Macaca fascicularis: one gene and its partners. The protein of the gene in region 1 interacts with the protein of each later gene in a biochemical or structural test. Links are inferred from orthologs where the notes say so. Each region holds a gene or a part of one and is shown in the gene's direction. Other genes may lie near its edges. The genes, in order: HSP90AA1, AHR and FKBP5.

What was found.
Region 2: the proteins of HSP90AA1 (region 1) and AHR form a complex in vitro, tested with the Homo sapiens proteins (2 studies listed by BioGRID). The link is inferred for Macaca fascicularis from reciprocal best matches to the Homo sapiens genes HSP90AA1 and AHR.
Region 3: the proteins of HSP90AA1 (region 1) and FKBP5 form a complex in vitro, tested with the Homo sapiens proteins (5 studies listed by BioGRID and IntAct, with this or other methods). The link is inferred for Macaca fascicularis from reciprocal best matches to the Homo sapiens genes HSP90AA1 and FKBP5.

The regions. Positions count from the first base shown.
Region 1 is NC_088381.1:170,187,746-170,191,494, reverse strand, and holds the start of HSP90AA1 (heat shock protein HSP 90-alpha), read left to right. Parts: upstream 1-1,001; 5' UTR 1,002-1,060; intron 1,061-1,658; coding exon 1,659-1,820; intron 1,821-1,909; coding exon 1,910-2,276; intron 2,277-2,596; coding exon 2,597-2,730; intron 2,731-3,024; coding exon 3,025-3,345; intron 3,346-3,460; coding exon 3,461-3,626; intron 3,627-3,749. UniProt on the Homo sapiens protein: Molecular chaperone that promotes the maturation, structural maintenance and proper regulation of specific target proteins involved for instance in cell cycle control and signal transduction.
Region 2 is NC_088377.1:112,901,232-112,904,980, reverse strand, and holds the start of AHR (aryl hydrocarbon receptor), read left to right. Parts: upstream 1-1,192; 5' UTR 1,193-1,831; coding exon 1,832-1,896; intron 1,897-3,749. UniProt on the Homo sapiens protein: Ligand-activated transcription factor that enables cells to adapt to changing conditions by sensing compounds from the environment, diet, microbiome and cellular metabolism, and which plays important roles in development, immunity and cancer.
Region 3 is NC_088378.1:136,110,750-136,114,398, forward strand, and holds part of FKBP5 (peptidyl-prolyl cis-trans isomerase FKBP5), read left to right. Parts: coding exon 1-89; intron 90-2,838; coding exon 2,839-3,078; intron 3,079-3,649. UniProt on the Homo sapiens protein: Immunophilin protein with PPIase and co-chaperone activities. Component of unligated steroid receptors heterocomplexes through interaction with heat-shock protein 90 (HSP90).

The DNA.
Region 1 (3,749 bases):
GCCCGGGAGGTCGAAGCTGCGGTGAGCCAAGATTGTGCCACAGCACCCCAGCCTGGGCGACAGAGGGACAGCCTGTCCAAAAACAAAAAAACACCAAACCTGTCTTTTAGGGAAGGTTAATCACCAAAATGTCAAGTGTTAGATACTTAATTTGGAGACCTCAAATCGATCGGCAAAACGATGGGCTTTTAAAAAGCATGCCGGGTGTAGCTGGGTAAGCATGAATTTATTCACCAAGGGCCCGATTCCCAAGCTAAGGGATCCTGAAGTGTGAAGGACATGGCTTCCGGGGAACCCAAAGGTAGGGAGCGCTCCTGAGCCAGCAGTGGGTCTGGAGACTCCCCGAGCGCGCAGGCCGCGGGACGGCGTCCCCTGCGCGCAGCAGCTAGAAGCCAACAGCCCAAAGGCCCCCAGGGAGCAGAGCCCCGCGATCCCGGCGCCGCCTGCGGCTGGGTTTTTTGGCAGCGGGCGCGCCGTCCGTGAGGATGACGGCTCCGGTAGTTTCCCAGGCGTGCGAGACCCGGGGCGCTCCCCGTCCACGCACGGCCCTCCCTCCAGGCGCGCCTCCCGCCCCAGCCCCGCATTCTGCGCAGCCCGGGTGACCAAACTACACCTCACTTCAAAGGCCCCCACGCCCGGGCGTGCCCTCCGCCCGCGCTCGGCAGGTGGGAGTGCAGGGAAGAGAGCGCGGGCGGCCCCAGAAGGCGCCCGGACCTTCCCGAGAATTCCAGGCCGCGCAGGCGCATTGAGGTCGGCGCGGGGGCGTGCGAGAGGCGCGGGGCGGTGATTGAGGGAAGGTTTCCCGGGCTGGGCCACGAGCAGGGCCTGCGCGCGCCAGCGGGAGGGGCGGGCCACGGCGAGGGCGAGGGCGCAGGCGCAGGCGCGCGGCCGCGGCGGCGGTTGGGGAGGGTTCTTCCGGAAGGTTCGGGAGGCTTCTGGAAAAAGCGCCGCGCGCTGGGCGGGCCCGTCGCTATATAAGGCAGGCGCGGGGGCGGCGCGTCAGTTGCTTCAGCGTCTTGGTGCTGCTGTGCGGTGGAACGTTTGCAGCCTTTTAGCCAAGGTGTGAGGGGCGGTTGTGAGGGCCTGTGGAGGTGGATTGGGGAGTGGGGGCGGTTGGCGCGGAGCGGAGGCTGTGGGGGCCGAACGGGAGCCCTGAACCCGCCAGGGCCGCTCTCCCGGGAGGCCGCGCTGCCTATTCCGGAGGCCGTGGGCCCGCTGCTGTCTCCGCAGCCCGCCTCAGGAATGGGCTGGGCGGCTGCTCCCCGAGGCTCCGCGGCAGCCCCGGAGCTGGCGCCGCACGCGAGCAGAGCGGCCCTTTGGCTGGGGGCCCCCCGGGCGGCCCAGCTGGGGCGCAGGCGGAGGAGGCCGCCCTGGCGGAGCCGCGGCCCGCGCGGGAGAGCACACGGGGTGTCGGTTGGGGACCGCGGCGCGGGACTGGGCCGGGCCTGCAGTGGCCTCCCGGAAGCGCGCACACGCTCGTGGTAGTTACCGCGCTCCGAAATGAGGTCATCCTTTGTCAGCCGCCCTTCTATTTTCGGTTTACTTAAACTTCGCAAATCTGCAATCCGGCTTTAAAAATATTGGGAGGACGCGATGGAATCTCGTGTTGCCCCTGTAGACGCTCTGCAGGGTTTTAAACCGGCGCGGTGTCGTTCCAGATGCCTGAGGAAACGCAGACCCAGGACCAACCGATGGAGGAGGAGGAGGTTGAGACGTTCGCCTTTCAGGCAGAAATTGCCCAGTTGATGTCATTGATTATCAATACTTTTTATTCGAACAAAGAGATCTTTCTAAGAGAGCTAATTTCAAATTCATCAGATGTAAGTCGTTTATTAACCCAGAATAGGATTTTGGTTTCAATATGAACTTCTTGGGGGCTGTATGCTTAATTAATATTTTGTGTTAATAGGCATTGGACAAAATCCGCTATGAGAGCTTGACGGATCCCAGTAAATTAGACTCTGGGAAAGAGCTGCATATTAACCTGATACCAAATAAACAAGATCGAACCCTCACTATTGTGGATACTGGAATTGGGATGACCAAGGCTGACTTGATCAATAACCTTGGTACTATCGCCAAGTCTGGGACCAAAGCGTTCATGGAAGCTTTGCAGGCTGGTGCAGATATCTCCATGATTGGCCAGTTCGGTGTTGGTTTTTATTCTGCTTATTTGGTTGCTGAGAAAGTAACTGTGATCACCAAACATAACGATGATGAGCAGTACGCCTGGGAGTCCTCAGCAGGGGGATCATTTACAGTGAGGACAGACACAGGTAGGTACCTGAACACTCACTGGTTAAGTCAGTGGCGGAATGGTGGGGTGTTGCAACCCTTGGACCCCTGGGGATGCGGCGAAGTTCACAGAAAGTGTGTTTACCCAAGGATCAGGAACAAGCTAGAGCTCTGAATTAGTGTGTAATGGCATGACTTGGTGATTACTTCTTTTGGGCAAGGCACTTAGATCTGCTGTGGGAGCCTTTGCATCTGTAGTAAGGGCAAACCTCGCTTCATAGACACGTTATAAGGGTTAAGCATGGCGTTGAGCACTAAATTGAATGTATTATTGAGTCAATTTTCCTTATTTCTCTTGCAGGTGAACCTATGGGTCGTGGAACAAAGGTTATCCTACACCTGAAAGAAGACCAAACTGAGTACTTGGAGGAACGAAGAATAAAGGAGATTGTGAAGAAACATTCTCAGTTTATTGGATATCCCATTACTCTTTTTGTAAGTTTCTACATAATTGCAGAGTGAATTACTGTCTGTAGGTGACTGGGGTGACTGTACTACATCCTTAGTTCCTAGGTCTGTTGAACTAGTCTGAAGCCTGGGGAACCTAAGCTCTACTAACTGTGAAGGTTCCTCGGGTTATTAAGTAGATATATCAAATATTGATGAGAAGCTGCCTGGCTGCTTCTCATCCTCGGTAATTTAGGCTTTGGCCTTAGGTTGAAAGTAGTGGGGCAGCGCTATGACTTAGTTCTAGAGTGCAGCAGTGATGCGATTTCATGTCTTTTGAAGGTGGAGAAGGAACGTGATAAAGAAGTCAGCGATGATGAGGCTGAAGAAAAAGAAGACAAAGAAGAAGAAAAAGAAAAAGAAGAGAAAGAGTCTGAAGACAAACCTGAAATTGAAGATGTTGGTTCTGATGAGGAAGAAGAAGAAAAGAAGGATGGTGACAAGAAGAAGAAAAAGAAGATTAAGGAGAAGTACATCGATCAAGAAGAACTCAACAAAACAAAACCCATCTGGACCAGAAATCCCGACGATATTACTAATGAGGAGTACGGAGAATTCTACAAGAGCTTGACCAATGACTGGGAAGATCACTTGGCAGTGAAGGTGAGTGAGGGACTGATGGATGCTTCAAGCTTGTCTTTAGATTATCATCCCACCACCCCAAATATCTGCTATAATGCATTGTTCATTGATACTTAGTGTGTTTGTTCTATTACAGCATTTTTCAGTTGAAGGGCAGTTGGAATTCAGAGCCCTTCTATTTGTCCCACGACGTGCTCCTTTTGACCTGTTTGAAAACAGAAAGAAAAAGAACAACATCAAATTGTATGTACGCAGAGTTTTCATCATGGATAACTGTGAGGAGCTAATCCCTGAATATCTGAGTAAGTATAGATAGGAAAAATAATCACTGTCACTGATTAAAGAAATACTTCTGGCTGGGCATGGTGGCTCACACCTGTAATCCTAGCAGTTTGGGAACCCGGGGTGTGCGGATCACTTGAGGT
Region 2 (3,749 bases), on another chromosome or scaffold:
TCTTTCTGATCCAAAATTTAGTAGCCTACTACATTTCACCCACCATCCTTCTTTCCTCCAGCTATGGTAGAGAACTGCTCCTCCAACTTTATGTACATTTGAATCACCTGGGAGTTCTTGTGAACTTCTGGGTCTGATTTAATATGGACACCCAAAGAGTCTGCATTTCTTATAACTCTCATAAGAAGCTGTGGAGTACTCTGAACAGCAAAGTACTGGAAGTGCTGTTTCTGTTAGTATCTAAACTATTAGTCCTAATCTCCCATTTATGCTTTGGCACTCATTCCCTCCTGCTTTCGCTATCTTAATATATATCACTCCTTAACTGTTCCCTCAGGTTCCCTACATAGTTTATCTCCACCCCTCTAAGCTGCTCAGTATCACCCATTAAAGAACTAAACCAAAACAAAACTAGAAAACCCTCATTTAACCCTTCACTCCCCCTACATACCATCTGATGTGTCTCTCATCCACAGTTAAACTTGGAAGAATTGTCTGCTTGAGGATGCCATTTCATCATCTCCAGCAATCCTGTACCCACTTCAATGTTATTTGCAGGCCCATTACCCCACCAACACAGCATTCACGAAAATTATCAATGACTACACACTGAGAAGACAAGAATGACATTTTCAGTTCTCCTCTAATTTGAATTTCTCAACAGCATTCAATACTGTTAACTACTCCCAATATTTTTCCACATTGTCCTCCATGACACAACACATAATAGTCCCTTATTATCTATTTTCCTGTCTATTGTAAAGACTTCCCCCCACCCCAAAAAAGGTCAAGAAAACCCCTAGCCTTCAAGTCTCAACTGAAATCTGGCCTTCTGAAGCCTCCCCAACTAGGAAAATATATAGTCCCATTGGTTGTCTACCAGTTAATTGTAATTCTTAGCCACAAGTCAGCTGAACCACCGTCTCTCAAACAGGCGAAGTTAAGCTCTATATTTGGCATATCTTGATATACTTTGTATAGTCTAGCTACAATGAGTTTGCCTATGCACGAAGATGGCTACCGGCGGGGGGGCGTCGTTACGTCCTACGTCATCACGTGCCGGGATGAGGGTGGGGCCCTCAAGGAAGATGGAATGGAATCCAGATGGGCGGGGGCAAGCAGGACGGGGCGGGGCTACGCTGGATCTGGGCGGGGCGGGGCCGGTGAGGGGTCGGGGGTGCTTGTGCTATTCAGCCGGTGCGCGCGGCGGCGGGAGGCAGCGGCTGGGGAGTCCCCTCGACGCTCTGTTCCGAGAGCGTGCCCCGGACCGCCAGCTCAGACCAGGGGCAGCCGTGTAGCCGAACGTAAGCTAGGAGCAGCCGGGACTGGTGGCTGGCCCCCGAGCTCCGCAGGCGGGAAGCACCCAGGATTTGGGAAGTCCCGGGAGCAACGCGGCGGCGCCTCCCTCACCCAAGGGGCCGCGGCTACGGTCACGGAGCGCGGCGGCACCGTGAGCGACCCAGGCCAGGATTCTAAATAGACGGCCCAGGTTCCTCCTCTGCCCGGGCCGCCTCACCTGCGGGCATTGCCGCGCCGCCTCCGCCGGTGTAGACGGCACCTGCGCCGCCTCGCTCGCGGGTCTCCGCCCCTTGCCCCCCCTTTCGGCGCCAGGCCCGGGCAGCTCACCTGGACTGGCGCGGGCTGCGGGAGCCTGCGGTAGCCGAGGCGCGGAGGCGCAGCGCCCACGCCACTGTCTGGAGAGGACGCAGGTGGAGCGGGCGCGGCTTCGCGGAACCCGGCGCCTGCCGCCGCCGTCGTCCCGGCAGACACCAGGTCCCGGGGACCCGGCCGCCAGTGCCCGGGGAGTAGCCGCCGCCGTCGGCTGGGCACCATGAACAGCAGCAGCGCCAACATCACCTACGCCAGTCGCAAGCGGCGGAAGCCGGTGCAGAAAACGTGAGTGTCCCGAGCGCGTCCTCATCGCGGGGGCTGGGCGCACAGGCACGCGGGTGCGGGAGGCAGCCCCACCCCGCCCCCAAATCCCTGCGATCCTGGGGATTAGGTTCATTCCCGGCACTGCCCGTGGAATCGAGGTTTGGAGGCCGGTCGGGAGACCGAGGACTTGAATTCTCGCGTTTTCAATGATTGCATTTTAAAAATTGTCCTTCCACCCATCCTCTTCTCCCGCACCGGTGCATACACACCCTCTCACATTTGTAACTTTGTTCTCTCTGATTTGGTCCTGATTTGTTGACAGCTCTGATCTGCCTTGGGCTAATGGATTAGTTAGTATAAACCTGTCTTGAAATCTCCTTCCACTTTTAATATCCGCATGCGTTAGGTTAGAGGACAGTCTTAATTCTCATTCTTGGTAGAGTTTGGTAGGGCGAGATGTTTTAAAGAGCTAAACACGTGCTGACTTTTACGAAGGGGCTGAGTGCCTCTAAAGGTACTTTTTGGTCCCCACCTACTGGCTTTCTGTTGCGCTCTTACTTACTTATTTGGCAGCAGTTTTGTAGCGCTCATCGTGACCATATCGGTAAAGTGGATAGACGTGGTAGCAGGTGGGAGTGGATGCAACGGACAGGATACGGTGGAGGATTTGTATTCTTCAGACATCTTTTTCGGAAGCTTGCTTATCACTTTTGGGGTGGCTTTAGAGTCTGTAACATAAAAGATTTAGAACTGCATTTGAGAGTGGTTTTCATTCTTAACATTTACCTCTAATTATTTTCCCCTTCCAAGTTTTGTTCTAATTGAGTGAGTACAAACTTGCTTTTGTCGTTGTCAGTTGATTTTGGTGGAATATTTGTGTGAGATGGCAAATACTTTATTTTCTTGTGTGTCAGAAAAAAGTATCCGTGCTGGAAACTTTTCCTGTTGTGTGGTGGTTGTATTCATGTGTTTGTTCCAATTTTTTTATTTCTAGTTTTATCTCTGAGTTACTTTACCTGCATGTTTTTCAAGTTTTCGTAAACAATTTTAAGAACTCTTAAACGTCTTCTCAGACCAAATCAGAAGTGTGCATTTTGCTTAGACTCCAACTGTCACTAATGGGAACCAGAAAAATAACACTTTAAGATTTACATTTAAAACCAGTTATTGGTTTAAAGTTTCATTCTAAAATTTTAGTTTCCTTTCAGAATTTCAGTTATCATAGTTCTTCAGAACTAGACTTGTGAATTGGCATTAACAGAGGATAATAATCTGTAAATAGACTGATTAAAATATGGAAGTTTTATGGTAGAGTGTGTTTTAAGGGAATGTTGTCAAACCAGCAGTTTTCTACCTTGGCAGTTTGAGACATCGGTTTATAATACTTTTAATTTTGTAGAATGATTTCTTATATTAAAGTATGTTTGTCTTATTTGACATTGTCCTTCATGGTTAAAGTTGGGAGGCATCACAAATGTCTGTTCTATGTGTTTATTAATGCAATAATATACTTAGCATCATATATAATAGGGACGTCATAGGTTTTATGTGTATAGTGAGAAAACAGGAAGCTTTCCCTGATGTGTTTTTAAGATACTGGGTTTCAGTTAGGGTGTTATAAAAGGACCTGGGTGGCTTTGTAAACAAAAACAAATGCCATAATTTTGTATTCATTATACAGTTTAACGTTTATGGATTTTAGTTACTTTGCGTAAAATGTACTTTTTATTAGATTATCCTAATATACTTTCTTAGTCTTTAATATGCTTGTATTAATTTCTTACAATATAACAAAAGTATTTTTCCCATTCACCCACATTTTATTTTGTTAGCATAGATGTTTATCAGATCTCTACCGAGCACCATATATTGCT
Region 3 (3,649 bases), on another chromosome or scaffold:
AATCATTTCTGCTTGCTGCCTTTCTGAACCTGGCCATGTGCTACCTGAAGCTTAGAGAATACACCAAAGCTGTCGAATGCTGTGACAAGGTAACGCCGTGTCTCCTGTGAGATAGACTTGAGATATTCCAGATCTTTTCTCCATCTCTGTCTTTTGCTTCCTCTCAGCCAAAGATTGAAGGATTTTTCATTTTGTTTTGTTTATTTGAATGTTTGGGATTATTTGTTTCTCAGTATGAATTGGGAAATTGAGCAAGATTTTTATTATAGCCAGACTTTTATGATACCTAGGACTGTTTGTCATAATGCATTCTGAAGAAAAATTTTGATTAAAATTAAATAATTTTATCCGTGACCTTCCTTATAACTGTAGTATATATATCAGAGTAGATGTATAACTTCTCAGGTTCAGTTTAATAAGAGCAGATTTAACTTAAGCTTTTCTGGACTTTAACAGACTGCAACTGTTCATATAAAGCATATATGTAGGTCAATTTTTATTATAATCATTTATTCACTGATATGCATAAATAATTTGAAAGGTCCACAGAGCATCAGCAGCCTTTTCATTTTTACATTTGTCTTATTAATACTCTCTTTGGTCTTTGAGTACTTACACACAGTAATAACAATGGTTTATCATCTGTATCGTTATGTGTCATTCTGATATACACCAGCTGATACTATTTTAGGTATCTGGTCTCAGGGTGAACAGTGTATATTATACTGTGGGTAAAAGTAAAAACTAATCATTGGATGTATCTTAAAGGTAGACATAAAAGGAAAAGAAAAACAAGGCAACTATTTTGTACATTCTTTGTGAGATTATTTTTTAATTTTGTGGATCAGTGTTTCCTATCGTATCCTGTCTCCCAAGACCGGTTATTAATTTTATACATATTTTTTCATTTTTTTCATACACAGTGGAGAGAGAGTGTGTGTGTGTTTTGTTTCTGTTTTAGAGACAAGGTGTTGCTATTTTGCCCAGGCTGGTGTGCAGTGGCTATTCATAGACATGAACATAATGCACTATAGCCTCAAACTCTCAGGCCCAAGCTGTCCTCCCACCTCAGCCTCCTGAGTAGCTGGGATTACAAGTGCATGCCACTACACCCTGCTAATTTTTAAGTTTATTTTTGTAGAGATGGGTGTCTTCCAAAGAGCTGGGATTAAAGTTGTGAGGTATCACACCCAGCACAGCCTTGACTACATTATTTGTCTGTCTTCTATTGACAGAAGCAGTCATATAGCATCACTGTTAACCCTATTTTTGGCAATAGGAAGCCTGTTCTCCTTTTTTTTTTTTTTTTTCTTTTGGAGATGGAGTCTTTCTCTGTTACCCAGGCTGGAGTGCAATGGCACAATCTTGGCTCACTGCAGCCTCCACCTCCCGAGTTCAAGCGATTCTCCTGCCTCAGCCTCCCAAGTAGCTGGGACCACAGATGCCCACCACCACGCCTGGCTAGTTTTTGTATTTTTAGTAGAGACAGCGTTTCACCATGTTGGCCCGGCTGGTCTCGAACTCCTGACCTCAGGTGATTTGCCGCCTCAGCTTCCCAAAGTGCTGGGATTACAGGTGTGAGCCACCACACCCCAGCAATTTTCTTTTAGCTTTGTTGATTATATCATTCTCTTTAAAGAAGGTTTTAATGTTTATGTAGTCAAATTTATCTTCTCCTTTCTAGTTAGAAAAGACTTCCCCACACCAAGATTATAAAAATAACTGAGGCCAGGCACAGTGGTTTACACCTGTGACCTGTAACCCCCAGACTTTCGGAGGCTAAGGCGAGAGGATTGCCTGAGCCCAGGAGGTAGAGGCTGCAGTGAGCTGCGATTGAGGCACTGCCCTCCAGCCGGGGCGACAGAGTGAGACTCTGCCTCAAAAAAATAATAATTAGATTTTAAATATCTTAAAATAAAAAACAATAGAAACATTTTATGGTTTTTTATATGTAAATATGATTGATCTAGAATTTATTTTTATGCTTACAATATGAGGTTAGAATTTAACTTTTTTTTTTGGAGACAGAGTCTTACTCTGTCACCCACGCTGGAGTGCAGTGGCATGATCTCGGCCCACTCCAACCTCCACCTCCCTGGTTCAAGCAATTCTGCCTCGGCCTCCCAACTAGCTGGGATTACAGTCGCGTGCCACCATGCCTGGCTAATTTTTGTATTTTCAACAGAGACAAGATTTCGCCATGTTGGCCAGGCTGGTCTTGAACTCCTTACCTCAGGTGATCCACCTGCTTCAGCCTCCCAAAGTACTGGGATTACAGGCATGAGCTACTGCACTCAGCCTTAACTCTTATTTTCTACGTGGATAGCTGCTGTCCTGGCCCCATTTATTTTAAAGTTAACTCTCCACTGATTCATATTACCACCCTTGTCATTTTCAAACGTTTTTATATGCAGACACGTGACTGTTTCTGAATGATTCGTTCTGTTTCACTGAGCTGTTTGTCCACATACTAGTAACCACACAGTCTTAATTTCAGTAGTTTTAAAGTTTGTCTTTTTCTCTGGTAGGACAATGCCTCTTAGTTTTTTCTTTTTTCCCATTTTTTTTCAGCCATTCTTGGGCACTTACTTGTTCCAATGAACTTTAAAATGAACTTCTCAAGAGCCCCCTCTCAAATCTCCTTGGTATCTTTCTAGAAATTGCATTAAATGCAGAAAATAATTTGGGTAGTAAATTTTGATCAGTAGTATATAATTATCTTGAGCCCCATTTTTTAAATACACTTTTTCCATCTCCTTTGGCAAGAGAACTTTGGTAAGCTGTTTGCTGAATTTATTAAAATTCATCCTTTCTAAAATATAAACCATCTATTCCTAGGCCCTTGGACTGGACAGTGCCAATGAGAAAGGCTTGTATAGGAGGGGTGAAGCCCAGCTGCTCATGAACGAGTTTGAGTCAGCCAAGGGTGACTTTGAGAAAGTGCTGGAAGTAAACCCCCAGAATAAGGCTGCAAGACTGCAGATCTCCATGTGCCAGAAAAAGGCCAAGGAGCACAACGAGCGGGACCGCAGGATATACGCCAACATGTTCAAGAAGTTTGCAGAGCAGGATGCCAAGGTGTGTGCAGAGCCCGCTGAATGCAGGTGGATCAAGAGCCTGCCGTGCCCCTTTGATTTTAGGGGACAGGAACAGTTAACCCAAGAGGCTCAAGAGTAGGAAAAACAATTTCCAATCTGATCTGAGGCTGAGTATGCTTTGGATCCAAAGGTTGAGTAGGGCAGTTCTAGTCACCAAAGGCACATGTCGTGAGAGATGAGAAAAGTAAATTCCCTTCAGATGTATTAGATTGGTTCAAAAGTAATTATGGATTTTACCATTACTTTCAATGGTAAAAACAGCAATTTTGCACCAACTCCCCACCCCCAAGTTAGAATCTCACTCTGTCACCCAGACTAGAGTGCAGTGGTGCTGTCATGGCTCACTGCAGCCTTGACTTCCCTGGTTCAAGTGATCCTCTCACCTCAGCCTCCTGAGTAGCTGGGACAAGCACACCACCACACCCGGCTAATTTTTTTAAATTTTTTGTAAAGATAGGGTTTCACTTTGTTGCCCAGGCTGGTCTCGAACCCCTGGCTTCAAGGAATCCTCCTACTTTGGTCTCCCAAAGTGCTGGGATTATAGACATGAG